Drosophila melanogaster: one gene and its partner. The protein of the gene in region 1 interacts with the protein of each later gene in a biochemical or structural test. Each region holds a gene or a part of one and is shown on either strand. Other genes may lie near its edges.

Region 1 (8,085 bases):
AACAATAAATAGCCCAGTTTCAGTTGTCAATTAAGTTTTATGCACGGTACTATTTTCATTTTTATTTATACTTGTAAATTATATTGTTATACATACGTGTGTATGAGATATCTTAATTACATTCACGTAGTCATCACGTTCTCTTGCTAATGTCGGATGACTTTTCCGATTCGCCAGTCAATGGCTCCTATACAGTTTATAGCTGTTTTGTTTTAAGTATTTCCACATCTACATCATATTATTTCGTCAGAACCCTATACCTTATACCTTATAAAGCTGACGTTTATTGTCGGGGGTCTTGACGATACTTAAATCATACGTCATATTGTATTGTTTAACACATTTTGCTTTCTCAAAACAAAATCTAAGTAGTTACCGATTAAGAATTATTAGGCAGTAAATTAAATGATTTCATAAGTATCTATACATATTTTTACATAACAGAATTAGTATAATCTTTAACTGCAGCTAAATTTTATCCTACTTTTAAGTTTCATTTCACAAATAAACTATCAAAGCGACTTTACTAAGTATGTACATATTTGAAAATGACTTGCCTTGAAAGCGCAATGTTGTTATCCAAATAAAGAAACAAAATTTTATTGCAATTATATACTAAAATATTGACTGAATCAGAATGAATACTATAAAAAATAATACTGATAAGGTACGACTCATTTGATGCTTAAATGCATCTTACCCAATTGCTTGGGTATTTGTTGTCAAATGAAATTAAATTTATAAATCTTAAGAGTACAGAAATATTAAGTCAAAAGAAGGCAAGACTAATAATCTATTAAATTTACTATAAAACTTAACTAGTAAGTTCCGCCTCTAAAATTTCCATTTTAGCCAAAGTCGAGGGCTAGTTATTATCTGCACATATCTTTCCTATCTGCCATGAACTCAACCGTTATCTTGTTTGCCAACCTTTTATGCGTCTTACAATGGCATCTACTTTTCCAACTCTTCCAAAGATAATATTGTCCTCTCTGGCAGCTGGCTAATTAGGGTACAATGAAATCAGGACAATATCTCTAAATAATATGGGTTTAGTTACTTGCAAATGCAGAACACTTTTTAAACGGAGTATATCTTCTTTTTGCAGGAGATGCCACTGATGCGAGAACAGGATCGACCGAGAAGCGAATCACCTTCACCCTGGCTCCCAGTTCGGCCGAATGCTCGCCGTCGGGTAGCCAAACGACACTTACTCCCAAAAAGTTCGAGGCCATTGCCGAGGAGGAGAAGGAGGACGACAAGGCCGATGAGGAGGAGGAGATCATGGAGGAGGTGGTGCTGCGACCTCGCCTCATCGACCGGCATCCTCATCTGCTGGCCAACCCCAGTGGACTGACGACCACGCCCAAACGGATCCTGCGATCCGCCAAGAGCGTTCCGCACATGAATGTCCGTTCGTCGGCCAGTGAGACGGATATATTCTCCATTAGCGGTACGATGACCGGAAGCAGTCAGATCAGCATGACGCCGGAGGTGCCATCGATATCGTTCAGTAATCTGCCTAAGAACTACGAGGACACGCCCACTATTGAGAAGTACCGGGTATCGCAGAGTCTCTATTCCATTCAAACGGCGAATGCTGCTCGGGCCACACAGGATGATTACTCCATGCCGCGCTACTTCCGTCGATCTGCCATGCTATTGACCCAGAGCTCTGAGGTGCTGCCCGGCGCCAGTTCACTGGCCTCCATGTCGCCATCGATGGCCTCGTCCTCTGCCTCGCCCGGGTCCTCCAAGGACGAACTGCGACGGCCAGAGAAGGAGAAGAGCAAACGACTCCAGATGCTGCGTGGCAATCTACCGCCCTTACTTATTCATTCCGTGTCCTTCAAACGAAATCGCGACGAGGGCAAGCAGGTTGACTAGTCGCACTGCAGATATACATATTTATTTGTTAATCACTTTGTCCATGTTTTTAATGTTTTAAATTTATTAGCCTTTAGTACCTGCTTATGCGTTTTCTGTATTATCTTCTAAGCAATGACCTTGTCCAAACAATTCCTCAGTATTCAGATGTACTTCATTTTGAATTAATGATTGATATTACAAAATAAATTGTATTTTACCACAAAAAACAGCGATTAAAGATCCTACTTAATAAATCTTTATAAAAATCTAAACGATATCTATTTGTACCATTTTAAAAGAAATAAATGCGAGCTTGAAAAAAAATGCACTTATCTCCCCGACGGGGAATTGAACCCCGGTCTCCCGCGTGACAGGCGGGGATACTAACCACTATACTATCGAGGATGTTATACAAAGTGAGTCAAACTCGGGTTTTCCGTTTGCGGAGTGTGAATGCTTGTTTCAATTTCATCTGTTCCCCATTTGTACTCTGAAGACAGTGTGCAAGCTCGAGACGGTTGTTTGACAGTGGGTAGACAACATCCTCGATAGTATAGTGGTTAGTATCCCCGCCTGTCACGCGGGAGACCGGGGTTCAATTCCCCGTCGGGGAGAGATGTAAAAATTACTTTTTGTTGATTGTTTTAATTTATTAATTTAATTTTTTAATTTTTTAATTTCAAAATTTAAGTAATGCAATACATGTTTCAGACCAACAAATTAAAATAAAAAATTGCACCATATAGCTTAAAAAAACGTCAAACATGTATATTTAATTAGGTCATCCTGGAAGTGATATATAATGAAACACATTTCAACGGGTATATAAGTTTTGTTAAGGGGTAACTGTAAGCCGGACCCATTTAGCTTACCACCCAATATGGTAGCACTGGCTGTAGAAATTCCCAATGGCAACGCTAGTCGACCAGTTTTCATTCGTATTGGCGTGTGTGTTGTTTGTACAACAAAACATTCTAGTTGTTTTATTTGCAAGGTGCTCATATAAAAACATAAACAATATATTTCGTAGAGTGCCCTAATAATTTATTAAGTTGTGAATTAAACAAATATGAATAAGAAGCGTGTCCAAGTGAATTGGTTAAATTGTAAATTATAAATAAAGCAATACATATAAACGGCCGGCAAAACAGAGAGCGCGTTTTAAGAGAGAACCTAATAGGAAAAGAGTGTAGAGCTGCCAGGTTTCAATTAGGTACCAGGTACCAAACGTATTTATTATTCGAGAAGAACTATTTTTGGTGACTAAATATGGTTTCTGATTATAGAAGTGTTCTCCTAATATATAATTTTTAAAAATTTTTTTCTACACGTGCCCTCAGATTGTTGATATTCAAAATTCGTACACAAACGCCCTTGACAGGCGCAGTCTCACCCGCGCCCACTGAGAGCGGAACGACGGAAATTTCAAACATTATTTCTATTTTCTATTTGAATTGAAACTATGTATTTTCCATAATTTTCAAAATATTCTTGATTTTTTTTGAATAACTAAATTAATTATTTTAAGTATCGCGAGGGAGAATAAGAGTTTAAAGCGGCCGATTATATTGAGGGGGAGTTTCAGTCAACGAAAAGGAAATAGTGAGAGGAGAGGGCTTATTGAAGAGAGCCTCTCATTTTAAAATTTCTCTTTAAGCGTGTTCCTTCTAAAGGACACAAGAAACTAATATGTTTATGAAATAAGAAACTTAACCGTGTATGTGTTTTCCAATTTTGCGTGAACAAATAAAAGAGCTCAAGCATTTTATCGTTTGAGTAATTTTAGATAAAAATTTATTAATATTTTTTAATGTTTTCAATTTGCCATAGACAACATTTTTTCCAATAAAATTCGGTAATATAAATAACATGGTGTTATGGCCTGCAATTTTTATATAAATTTTTAGTAGCACGCTCTTAGTTTAATATTTAGGTCAATAAAATAATTATCCTTATTGTTTTTTTTTTTAATTTGCATATTGTTTGTTGACCAGCTGTTAAGAGAAGAGAGGAGAGAGAAAAAGAGAACCGAAAAAGTGACCGTTCGCGACTTCGCAGTCAGCGCTGGAAAACGCACTAACGCGCGGAAAATGCCCTAGCGCCAGAGAAAGTGCCATTTGAGACTGAACTCTCTTTCGTGCGAGTTCCCTTTTCATTCGAAAATTTAACGCCCGCGCTGCTGCAGCGCGTTGTTGCTCCGGTTGGAAAATATCTGAAAACAGCATTAATAAATAAACAAAAATATTGGATAAATCGCCGGTAGAAACGCTGCATAAAACGAAATTTGGTTTCTTGTAAAATATTATTTTTCAAGATATTTTCTTGTTAATTTCCGGATATTCGACAAGGATATAAATGTTTCTTTCGCGTTGATAAACAAATTCCAGCACCGCTACCTTTGTGTCGCGCAATTGTGAAAAGTGATTTGTCCATTGTGTACATTAATTAATAAATTGGTAATTGCTCAATTTAGAAACATGTGCAATCGAGAGCTAGTGTGAGTGTTTGTGTGCAACAATAATAAAGCCGAAAATTGCCCAATTGCAATTGGCAATCACAACAAAATTGGAATATTATGGCACATTAGAAAAAGAAAATAACGAAAACTGTGTTTCCACCCAAAGTTTAGGCCGCAGCAGAGCGAATCCACAAAAATATACAATTTCGGCAATTTTTCCACATATTTTTCATTGATTTTTCGCCATCCTGCGGGTGTGAGCAAGAGGGCGAGAGAGTTGAAAGGAGAGCCAGGCTTTTGTATTCTGTTTTGGGTACGTTTTGGGAATGAAACGGTCCTGGCTCTCGCTAACCCACCCTCCCTCTCTCTTTGGGATTATCCTTTTTATATTTTGTTTATTTCTCTATTTTCCTGGCCACGTTTTGTGCACCATTCGTTTCGCTGCATTTCATTCTCGCGGCGTTTCAAATTGACTCAGAGAGAGTGAGAGTAAGAGTGGGAGAGAGCAGCACTCTCTTATTCTTCTTCCTCAAACTCACGCACCCCCCGCATAATGTTTTTCGACTCTGCCTTGTGCCCCCCATTCGCATCTCTCCGCAGCGCGTTGCCAACCAAAAAAAGAAAACTAAAGTACTGTTGTCATAATAAGAAATTTATCAGGAAAAAAGTTGAATTACAAAGTGTTTCAATTGATATTTCTTGATCATTTCTTCATCAAATCGTGTTTCATATCGTAGCAAATATTAATTTTAATTCAAAAAGCCCTACATGCCAGATATTTGTGTTCAAGATAAGCTCTTCCTGCGGCCATAACTTTTGATTGGGAAACTGAAATCTAATCCAGTTTTCCTTCTCCCATTTCCACAGTATTTAAGCCAGAAACAAAGTGAATAAGGCAAATTTGAATAAAGAAAAAGAATAAACCAAGAAAATATGCTCAGAAATCGCATCCGTAGCCTACTTATCGCATGAAGAACCGGTACCGTTAAGGGATAATCGCCGTCGCGTTAATTCGACTCCTGCACCGCACCGCCCCGCCCCCCCGTTCGTCGTTTCGTCTATTCATATATCCGATATAACCGTTATCGCGCCCGTGCATCTGCGTCTGCATCTGTGTGCGTGAGTCCTTGTATCCTCTGTACATATGTACAATATTTGTCGTCGTCGTCGTCGTGCATCGTTGTTGTTGTTCTTGCTGTTATCCTATTATTCATCGTCGTCCGCTGGCATTAATCTGCGTATAAAGTAAATATAACAAATTTGTGTTCTTCGGTGTTGTCTCGTGTAAGTGTCTATAATTTGTTTAAGTACGACAAGCGATCGGTGCGAATCAAAAAATTCCAATTCACCAGTCTGTGTGTGCGAATCGATAATCGAGCTATCAGAACAACCACAACAACAACAACAGCCCAATCAATCGATCAATGTCAGCAAACAAACGATAAACAGGACTCGCTGGGACTAATCAATTGCGTAATCTTCAGAATATTTTGGATTCCAACGTCTACGGAGTTTCAACTTTTGAACAATTCATTTTGCTGGACAGTTTTTGGAAAGGTACGTTTAGAAATAAATATCTTATTAAATATAGTAAGAGCAATCCAAGTGTCGCATTTTTATAAACATAGTCATTTGGATTAAGATTAATCGCAGGAAATGGTGGAGTTAATTTTCTGGAAAATCAGAACGTATTTTATGCCAGATACATTGGGATGTTCGAAAATGCATTAACACTGGGTCTTGTTGCCTTCAGCTCCCAAAATTGTTGTTTTTTTTCAAGGGTTAAGTGGATGCACATCGGTCGTGCCGGGAAATATCTATATTTAGCGCACGTATTGTCCTTTGGCCACGTTCTAGGATAAGGAAGGACATACCTTGGTAGGGTCAGCAAAAGTCGTTCTCGATATTTGCGTACGCCACACACACGACTGCTTGAGTGCGAAGGGTGTGGGCATTGGACGAGACTCATTAGGACAAACCGAAAATGGTTGAAATGCACTTTTGCAGACAGATACGGAATATACCCTCGGACACACAGCAGGAGATATCGGAGCTCAGACAGAGATACAAAACGGAGCGATTTCCATTTGAAATGTAAACAAAGCACGCTGATACCCCGGCACAGTGGAGCAGATGATTGGACGGTCGGGAAAACAAAGGCGAACCAAACACTTAAGATACGGCTACAGTGGGAACCACAGAAAAGGGACACCGACAACAAGTGATTTGGAAATGTTGATAAAAATGTGGTAGCTATTAAGTAAAAACATAAAGATGCCAGTTTGAACAATTTCTTTGCCAAGTTCTTAGGTTGCATTTGAATAACTAAAACTTTATTTATTTTAATACCCAAAAGAGGGGTTTTTAAATTGGTTATCAGATCTTTTTATTTGTTTTGATAAATTTAAACTGGTACACTTCATATGAAGTATTTTTTATGTGCTCAATCCCTTAAGCGCCTACTCATTGACACGCAAGCTGAAAAAATTGAATATTCCACTCGGGAATCTGATTTAGTTCTGCTTCACCCGCATTTATGTCTGCATTACTTAACCGATTTCACAGCTGTAATCTGTTTCTTTTCCTATCTGTGATTGCCTCTTTTTTACTCTCGTTTTGTGATACATTTTCGATTCGAGAAATGGTCTTCGTCATCGCTTTTGATAGCTTTAATCTTTTAATCGCTTGCATATTTAGGAATTTAACAGAGAGCCATCTACGTTAATCCGCTGAGATTAGCCTAATGGGATGTTGTATTTCCCCTGAATCTTTCATTTTTGTAAATGGTCATTTCTTGAAATGTTATTCCAAGTTCTTATGGTAATTTGATTCCCCCTCTCATGGTAAACGACATAAATGTATCTGATAAGAATTGAAATACAATTGATGATCTTCTTCAAATTCTCTGAATTTCTCTTATTAAATTTTAATCAATTATCTTTTTTATTAATAAACTATATTTGCTTCCCATTGTGCAAAGACGGGTGAGCTTAGACTGTGGTTTAGATGACTGTGGACTTCTGGCTTTCAACCTCCTTTGCCACTCTGCGGCCCATTTCACATTCTCCTAGCCAAGTATCTAATCTATGTATCTAAGTATAACCAAAGAAGCCCGTATGTTTTGTATTATGTTACACAAATATTTAAGCTGCCTTAAGTAGATACAACGAAACGCGTTCAAGATACACATATGTGTAGAAAGAAAGAGCCAAGGAAAAGCGCAACAACAACAGTGCCGCGGATAGAAAAGTTACATTTCAGTTAAATGTGCGGGTGCTGAGCGCAGTGGGTGGTGGAAATCCTCCATCTACCCACCAAACAAGACTAGAAAAGCCAAAGTCGTGCAGTAAGTTATCACATCCGAAGAAATTGAATGAGCAGACTAGCATATAGATGGATTAACAGGCAAATTCAAACGGAGTTGGCCAGCAAAAGTGCTGGGAAAATAGCCAGAATATCGAGATACTTATTAATTTTGCTGGCGGAGATGAAAATAAATAAATTTATAAAAATTAAATACTCTAGTTTTGCAAACTGTAACATTACTATATGATTATCACAAATTAAGCTTTATATGTTTCTTATTAAAGTACTAGTGATTTTATTTTATAAAAATTAACATCACTGACTGAACTCGGTTTCTTTCCGACTGGCTAACTGGTTCGCATTTGTGTGTTTTGGTAGCACTTGGACTGTTTTTCTTCTTTTGCAATGTTTGCTATTTGTAGTTGTCTACCGATACAATTTTTCCTCGTTTT
Region 2 (8,036 bases), on another chromosome or scaffold:
CAGGCAGCAGATAAAAAAGTAAGCGGCAAGTGCAATTAAACGACTGCGACTACGACCACCCCTGCCTGCATTTCCACCAGCCGCCCATCAAATGGATTGGTATGGTGTGGTATGGTATGGTATGGCATGGTATGGTATCCTATGCAGCACCCCAACCTCTCTATATGTATGTACCATGCACCTACATATGTACATATGTATGTATAGGCGATTTGCCTTTGATCTGCGGCGGCGACGACGACATCGACATGCATTAAAAACTTGTTGTTGGGGGCCCTTCCGCTGATGTTTTTCCTCTTCTTCGATTTCCCCCTTTTTTTTCTATTTCTTTTTTTTTGGTACTTTTTCGCCTTATTTGTTTATAGTAAGTGCGCACGGGGCGGGCCTCAGCCCAAAAACACCTTCAAACGCTGTGTACTACAATATATGTACGTATGTTTATTTTGTTTAGTCTACGCAAAGGCCGCGTTACTAAAATTTATTTTAATGCCTTCTAATGTTTGATGTTTGCTATGGGCGGCATTCCGATTTGGATTCTAGCCGGAATCCGTTGCAACTTTTGGGATGCTCCATAAAATTATACGATTGCGAGGCGTTGAGTTACGGTAAGCAGTTCGAAATAATAACTTAAACATATATGGATGGCGGTATAGTCGAAAGACCCTAAAAGATGAAAAGATTTCTTTCTAGTTTGGCCAGGAATAAGTTGCAACGTTTAAAACTTTCCAAGAACAGAGCAATCAAATTTGTAACGATCTTCTAAGGATATACTTAAGACTTCCGACAAAGAGTGCGATTTCGAAAATAAAATTTTTCAAATTGAAACTTTTTGTATGTATGTATTTATCTACTGATTTAGCAAAGAGGGTCTCATATTTTTGAAATAAATGAAGTTGTGGCATCGTGCGACTTATCCAATTAACATATTACCCCTTGGCAACCCCTTTGCAATATGAAAAGTTAATACAATATTATTAACACACCATTTGCAGCTTCGGTTCGCCCGATCGCTTTGCACCCCAAAATCAAGGGAGGCGAAGGCGAAAAGGAACCAAATTCAAAACAAGGCCTATAATAAAACATAAGCCCTACATTCCAGCCAGGCGATGGCATAAATCTCCAACTTTATGACATCAATAACTGTCGTTCGTCCGAAGAGTCAGCGCGAGCACTGGGAAATGGGAGGTGGAAAAGCGCACTGGAGGCCCAACTTTGGATGGTCGGTCCCTTCGCCCTTCTGGGCATCGCCATGGCCAGCCTTTGATAACCGCACACACGCATTTCCACGCAGATATAATCACAAAGGGCCCGGACTGTTAATCAGGGGCGGGGTTTGGGACTTTTGGGGGAAGGAGGAAATGGGGTGGGCACCACCCCTCTCGGTTATATAGTTTATACAAATGGCAACGGCAGTTTACGACTCTTGGGTGTCAGTCAACGCCGGCTAAAGGATCAGCTGCAATTGTTTTTGTGGCTCTTCGCTTGGTTTTCCATTGTGCGGGGTTGAAAGGCCTCGTAAAAAAATCAAGCGGAAAACTATAAAATGGAAATCCACACACACACTCACGCAGGCCCGTTCTCATAATCGCACAGTAGCAGCCAAGGACTGTCTTAGATGCACAGCAATAGGTTTGATCTATTAGAATTTGTTTAAAAAGTTTAGAAACTATAATTTTATACCAATCAACCATTTTACCTATCCAACAATTTCATAGAAAACTTCTACAGTTTTATAAACATTATATGATTAAGAGCCGAACCTTTCAATCAAAAGATTCAATTGGATTTAAATTTATATGTCATTGTTTTTAAATTGGTTTTGCTGTATTATCAAAATTTTCCTTCGTTGCTCTTAGATAACATTTTCTCTCATAGAACATTTTAAAATTTTCTTTATTTCTTCGAGTGTGGAAAATTGGTAGTGGAAGTATCTTGCAGTTTCGTCGTATATCTGCTCGTAAAAGCAGCAAGCCACCAATGGATTTCCTCCCACTGCCGACCGGCCACCCCATTTTAGCTGATTCTTGCTTTGGTCATTAAGACGCATTATTGTTTGGACTCAAAAAAAAAAAAACAGGGGGAAACGGTTGGATGATGAGACAGCGGGCGGTTTGCATAGTGACTCTCTGATCTGATTGCAGACAACTGATAGCTTTATTTCATCAAATGAAATTAGGAAGAGTGTCGGGTTCAGCTAGGGGGAATAATCGCAAATTAAATACTCATGTTTGATATAAACTCATAAAACAATTCTTAGTTTTTTAATCACAATAAACCATTTTTACCACATCTCACGATGATCATCTTAAGTTGGTTGCTCTTTATAAATATTATATATTTATATATATTATATAAATTAATTTTAGGTTTTGGTGTATTTTAAATTAAATGAAACTTGTGAGTTAAGTCTTTAAAATTCCACTTCAAACTTGCCGCGCCACAAACGACTGCTGCAGCTCGGCAGCACTGGCAGAAATACAGGGCATGCAAGAAATACTGGTCACGAGTAGGTATATTCCACCGGAGAGAGCGCTAACTGAACCCAGTATTTTCCGCTGAGAGAGCAGCAAAAGCCGGTTCCCACCAACAACTTCGAACAGCCGGCGGAGTTCAGTAATAAACAGACTTCGAACGCGTGCAGTTCAGATTGAGTTTGAGGTTCGATTGGATTCGAGATATCCAAGTTCCTTTTGCGCTACGTTTTGTTTAGCCGAGTTTGCCCCGAACTAAAATCACCCACCAAAGCCGGTTCGGGATGCGATGATGCCAAGGATGCAGCTGATGCAGCCGGGCTCTTGTATCTTTAAGATACAAATTAAGTTGATTTGTTGCGCTCGCGTTCTCTTGGGTAATTGAACCCCACAGTTGGGCTCCTTGCGCCCTCTGCCGCGCGGTCTTCGGTCTTCGGTCTTCGAGCATTTCGTTGCATTTTGTGTATCTAGATACCTTTGTCGGTATCCGTATCCGTCGCTTGTCAATCTGGTCGCTGATAAAAAAGCAAACGCGAACGCAGCCACGAAACATAAACCAGCCGTCAACGGAAAATAAAAGTAAAAAGCAACAAACAGCAAGTGGCGTATCAGTTCGTGTGTTCTCGGTGATAAATGCATTTCATGCGTTCCAACTATGTAAATAGCAATTTAATTTGAGTGTCCACAGTAAACATCAAAAAACCGCCCTGGACTCCAGTCACCACCACCAACAACACCATCCCCGGTGGAGCCCAGTGATCCCATTGAAACCCCGGTAAACCCCTGAAAAGGGCAGTCGTTGTCATCGTCGTCATCGTCGTCGTCGTCGTACGTCTGTGCCATCCAAATATTGAATATTTACAAATGCGTTGAGTGCATTTTCGAGTGGCCGGCACTTACAGTGACTATCTGGTGGATGTGCGAGTGTATTCATCGGATTGCCAGCAGCATAAAACTTCGTTTTCGATACTGATCCAATACGCGAGTGCTTATATATTTTTTGTGTCGCTAATTGAGACCAAAGGTGTCGAAGTGCGGCGGTTATACATATACGCAGATGACTGCTAGGATGATCTCAATATGCGGCCTGGTCATGGCTTTGATGATGGGTAAGTGGTCTGCTACGATTGGATTTTGTGGACTAAGTGAGGGATTGCCTTATTCTCGGGGGGTTCTTTGCAATCAAATTCATTTCATTTGCTTAAGGGGGTTCTCAATTCCCATTTATTTGCTTATTTCGATGTCGGCATTTGGCGATTGCCTTTGCAACTGAATCGCTGGGAACTTCAAAGGAATCACAACATTTGTGTTGCGCAGAATATTGGCCATTCCATCTTGGGTGAGACCACCCATAATATGGACTCTATTAACCTCGAGGGCTCTGCCGTCCACACAGAACTACTCCTATTTCCTTATTCTCCAAGGGCGATTTTGTTTTGCGAAGAAAAACCGAAAACCCAGAGAGCCTTTGTCTCTGGCTATTCAATTTGAAAGGCAAGCGGCGTGCAAAATGACTCAATTAAAAGTCAGCCAGGAGCCACCAAGCTGGCATTACTAATTTGGAATAGGAGAAGGAAAGCAGCGGGAGAGGAAGCCGTTTGGAAAATTATGAGTCTCAGGTCTCAGTTCAAAATGAAGTCATTTTGGGCAAACATCAACATCGAAAATGTGACGAGCTCACTAACACAGGCAACAATTGAGGTCCTTGTGGCCAGGTTATCCTTTTCAATGACAGATGTTGCTCATTAAATACTTTTCTTTAGATAAAGTAGTTAATTTATAGGCAGATCAGCTAAAATACTCGCTCGGAATAAGAAAATATTGTTATAAAACTAATAAATATTTCATTTCTATACCTTTTAGATCCGTTCTGTTTTAATAGATTCACTAATTAGAAACACTATATAGGCATGTTTCCGAATGTTTTTTCCCAGTGCTAGCACACACACACACTTGAAATATAAGGACCATCCTGCCAAGGATCACGATACCCACTTGAAGTGAGACAAGCGACGCCGAAATTTCGGCTAATCAAATATAGTTTACAGCGGGGATTACGAGTGGGATAAGGATCGTGCCCGAAGGAGGGGGATCTCGGGTCTCAAGAGGGACACGATTATGCAAACGAAGGTCCTTAACAACGCATGTGTGTGCGTGCGTTCGAGTGTGTGTGTGTGAGACAGGACAGAGCTGAAAACTGCTGACTGTTAAGTAGCACAAAGGCAAACAGCCGCTAACAAAAGCCAGCCGGCAGACAGCGAGGATAGGGGGATTTGGATTCGCATATTTCAAAATCTGTGCAACGCTACTACAGAGGTCCATTATTTGTATGGCAAATAATGTGGCTGTCAGTGTGTGTGTGTGTGTGTGTGCTTGTTTGTGTGAGTTCCTTTTGTGTGGCAGTCATAATTTGTTATTCAAGCATGCAAAATGCTGCATGCAACATGCCAGGCCAAAAGCAAAAGCATCGTACATCCCACATTAAGGGCAGCTGTGGCAACTACAAAACTCCCCTTCACCAACCTTTGCCACTGCCACTGCCACACCCCCCGCCCCTGGTCCTTCCGCCTGTCTGCATCCTTCGGCAACCTTAAAGACTGCCAGTCGAAAGTTCTCCAGAGGGTTCTCTCTCGAAAATTGTATGAACTAGTCATGCATTTGCTTAGAAAGCCGGGGTATAAAGGGAATTTCAGGATTTAATGCTGCCTTATAATGAATCCAATTTATTAGGCTGTGTTCTATGAACAACTGGTCTCCGTTTGAAATACTTTGAATTGAATACAGCATCCTTGAGGTTTTCTACTACACTGGATTGGCTGGATAAGGGTATTTTACCTATATGTAATAGACATAAAACCATAATTTTGTAAGCTAGTTATTTCCTACAAAGTAGCGTTCAAAGAAATCATATCCAAAATGGTATTTATTTTACACATAAGAAGTAAGAGACTACATAATAACTTTTCATAAATAATGCTTGGCAGGCAGTACGATTCCCATTTTCATGTTGTTAAATCAATTTTGTTTGAAACACAAAGGAAATGATCCCGAGAAGCTCGATTGTAGTTGAAGGGAAAATCCCTGAATAAAGCCCTGATGACTGTTTATTAGCCATGCTGTAACCTTTAAATTGAATTCCAACTCTATCAAAGACCATCCAGTCCTTTTTCTGGCCATTTTTACCCCTGAAAAAACCCTAGATCAAACGTTTGACGCGTAATTGTCAGACACAATTCCACTTTTCATTCAGTGCCTGTCTGTCTGTTGACTTGCAGTTTTCCAGCACCGCTTTTCCCAGACAAATGCCTCGCATTCCACAGTGACAGTTCAGTTCTAGCCCCCCATTCCCCATTCCCATTGCCACCCCCCGCACACAGACACACGCACACAAAATCAAATCAAAACGCCACCCATGGGGCAAGTTCAAGTGGCTGCCACAGTGGGTTGCCTGATTATTACTACAATATTTCGCATTCATTGTGCTTAATCGACGAATGTTGCCGCACCATTTGTGGCAGTCGAAGTTGGATCTGTATCCGCATCTGCATCAGAATCTGAATCTGAATCTCAAAGATGCTGATGAGCATGAGGCCACAGCAGTGGGCACTCGTAATACTGCCTGCTGCTGACTTGCTGATTTCGGTTATTCGAGCCAAACAAACGAACTAATTATCACACACGCACACACACCCGCGACGAGGGTAAGTGGAAGAATGGAACGATGCACTGAGAAAGATTTCTTTGGGTTTAAAAAAAGAATCTTTAGAGTTCCAAGTACACACCTTAAAGTATATAAATCACAAACGTATTACTTGTGAAACGGTTGTTATAGAGAAGATTGTTATACCTATAATGTCAAAAGATAAAAAAAGATAAAAACATCTACCAATTCCTATCATAAACTCTGTCATATCTCATTACATGCTCATAATTTGCGAAACTGCTTACCAAAAGTTATAAATAAACATTACTTAGTTTAATAAATCAATTGAAAGACACAGTGTTGAAAATTCGTTTGTATTGTTTTTAAATTTAGAAAATCAAAAATTCCCACTTGGCTACCCTTCTTTTTCGCCAGTGTATGTCCACAGACAGATCGAGATGGGCAGTTGGAACCGGGACTGCCCGCTGCTCCGTGGCTCTGTCGCTGATGTTTGCAGCATCAACACTTTTTCAGTTTGCTGCTCGGCTTCTGCGGCATCAGTGCTCCTCCACAGAGCTCCACCTCCTGCCCCACTCCTCGTCGCTTTCCGCACCCTCTCACGCATTTTTGTGCCCACATCAGCGCAATCAACGGACTGCGGAGCGGGACGCATATTTCTTTAATCGACGCCCAGTAACTGACATTGTTCCCTCGTCTCGTATCGAATCGACTCAACTCGACTCGACTTGACTGGAACTCGAACTCGTTTTCCGCACGGCAAATTAAATCGATTCAGGGGAGGATCGAGTCGAGCAGGGCAGGGAGTTAAGCCCAGCCAAGAGGAGGAGGTGGAGGGCATCCCGGTGCCTGCCCAACTGCCTTTTCGGTTGGGCCGTGTATCATAACACGTCTGTCGGCGATGTGACTGGCATATGAATCGCATGGAGTTCCTCCTTCGAACGTCGAAAGGCCAGTAATGATGTTGTGGCTGTTGTTGTTGGCCCGCTTATTGATTCCTCGGTGCGGTCGTGCTCTTGGCCAAAAAGGAACTGCGCCCGGGACCCACAATCTGAGGTGTTGTCTCAAATTGCTCCAATTAGTGGCCAAATATAATGGTTGCCGTTTTGTAGTTCTTGTTCATGTTCCTTGCTCCTGCTACCCAAGTCGTATAATCAAAAGTAATTGCGTTTGAATTGCTTTTCGTTTCGAGTTGCGGTTGGGAGTTATGTATCTTCTGGCCATATCTACTCACTTGACTTTGTAGCCTCGAATGGCGCCACTTGTGGTCTGGATTTAAACAGCTTCGATATGAAAAGGTTCTTCGCTCATTTGGTAATCGCCATTGAAATGCATTCATATGGGCCACACCTGACCAGTGAATTGCATTTTAAATGCAGCAAATTGCATTTGCGGCTGTTGATTTAATATAACAACCGATTTGCATTCACAAATAAATGAGAAACACACAAATTAAATGTATAAAAACATTTTTCCTCTCGAAATGCGTTTATTTTTCGCATGGTTTTTATGGGCGCCTTTTTCTTCTGGCTTTTAATTATGTTGGTACAAAACTCTGAATACGTTTTTGTTTGTTTTTTTTTTTCACCATACACATATTGTAATTTTGTTTGAGGACACGCAACTTTGGACAGCAATGGCGTAGGTTTTTTCTCCATGCCTCTCTCTGATACTCTATAAAGGGTATTTTTTTAAATTTTAATGGCAAAGATCATTTCATTTAAGCTTTGAACTTATGTAATTATTTAGTTTGTAACAAATTGTCCAATAATTCAATAATAATAATATGCTACTTAATAAGCACTTTAATCATTGCAGCTAAAGAGTATTCAAAAAGGGTTTTTAGATTTAAAAAAAAAGCCTCTGTTTTTTGTGCTTCCGCCCTTTTTTGAGTATTTTGTTGC

What was found.
Region 2: the proteins of Sema1a (region 1) and otk form a complex in vitro, tested with the Drosophila melanogaster proteins (one study listed by BioGRID).

What each region holds. Positions count from the first base shown.
Region 1 is NT_033779.5:8,539,350-8,547,434, forward strand, and holds the start of Sema1a (semaphorin 1a), read left to right. Parts: upstream 1-2,797; 5' UTR 2,798-2,863; intron 2,864-3,863; exon of another isoform or gene 3,864-4,366; intron 4,367-5,194; 5' UTR 5,195-5,884; intron 5,885-8,085. Other genes in the region: CG17834 (uncharacterized protein), read left to right, coding at 1,109-1,887. UniProt on the Drosophila melanogaster protein: Involved in growth cone guidance through its role in axonal repulsion. Function in neurons is essential for adult survival, motor neuron survival, and is important for climbing behavior and activity.
Region 2 is NT_033778.4:12,014,422-12,022,457, reverse strand, and holds the start of otk (off-track), read left to right. Parts: upstream 1-2,611; 5' UTR 2,612-3,528; coding exon 3,529-3,580; intron 3,581-6,562; exon of another isoform or gene 6,563-7,363; intron 7,364-8,036. UniProt on the Drosophila melanogaster protein: Acts as a calcium-dependent, homophilic cell adhesion molecule that regulates neural recognition during the development of the nervous system. Component of the repulsive Plexin signaling response to regulate motor axon guidance at the embryonic stage.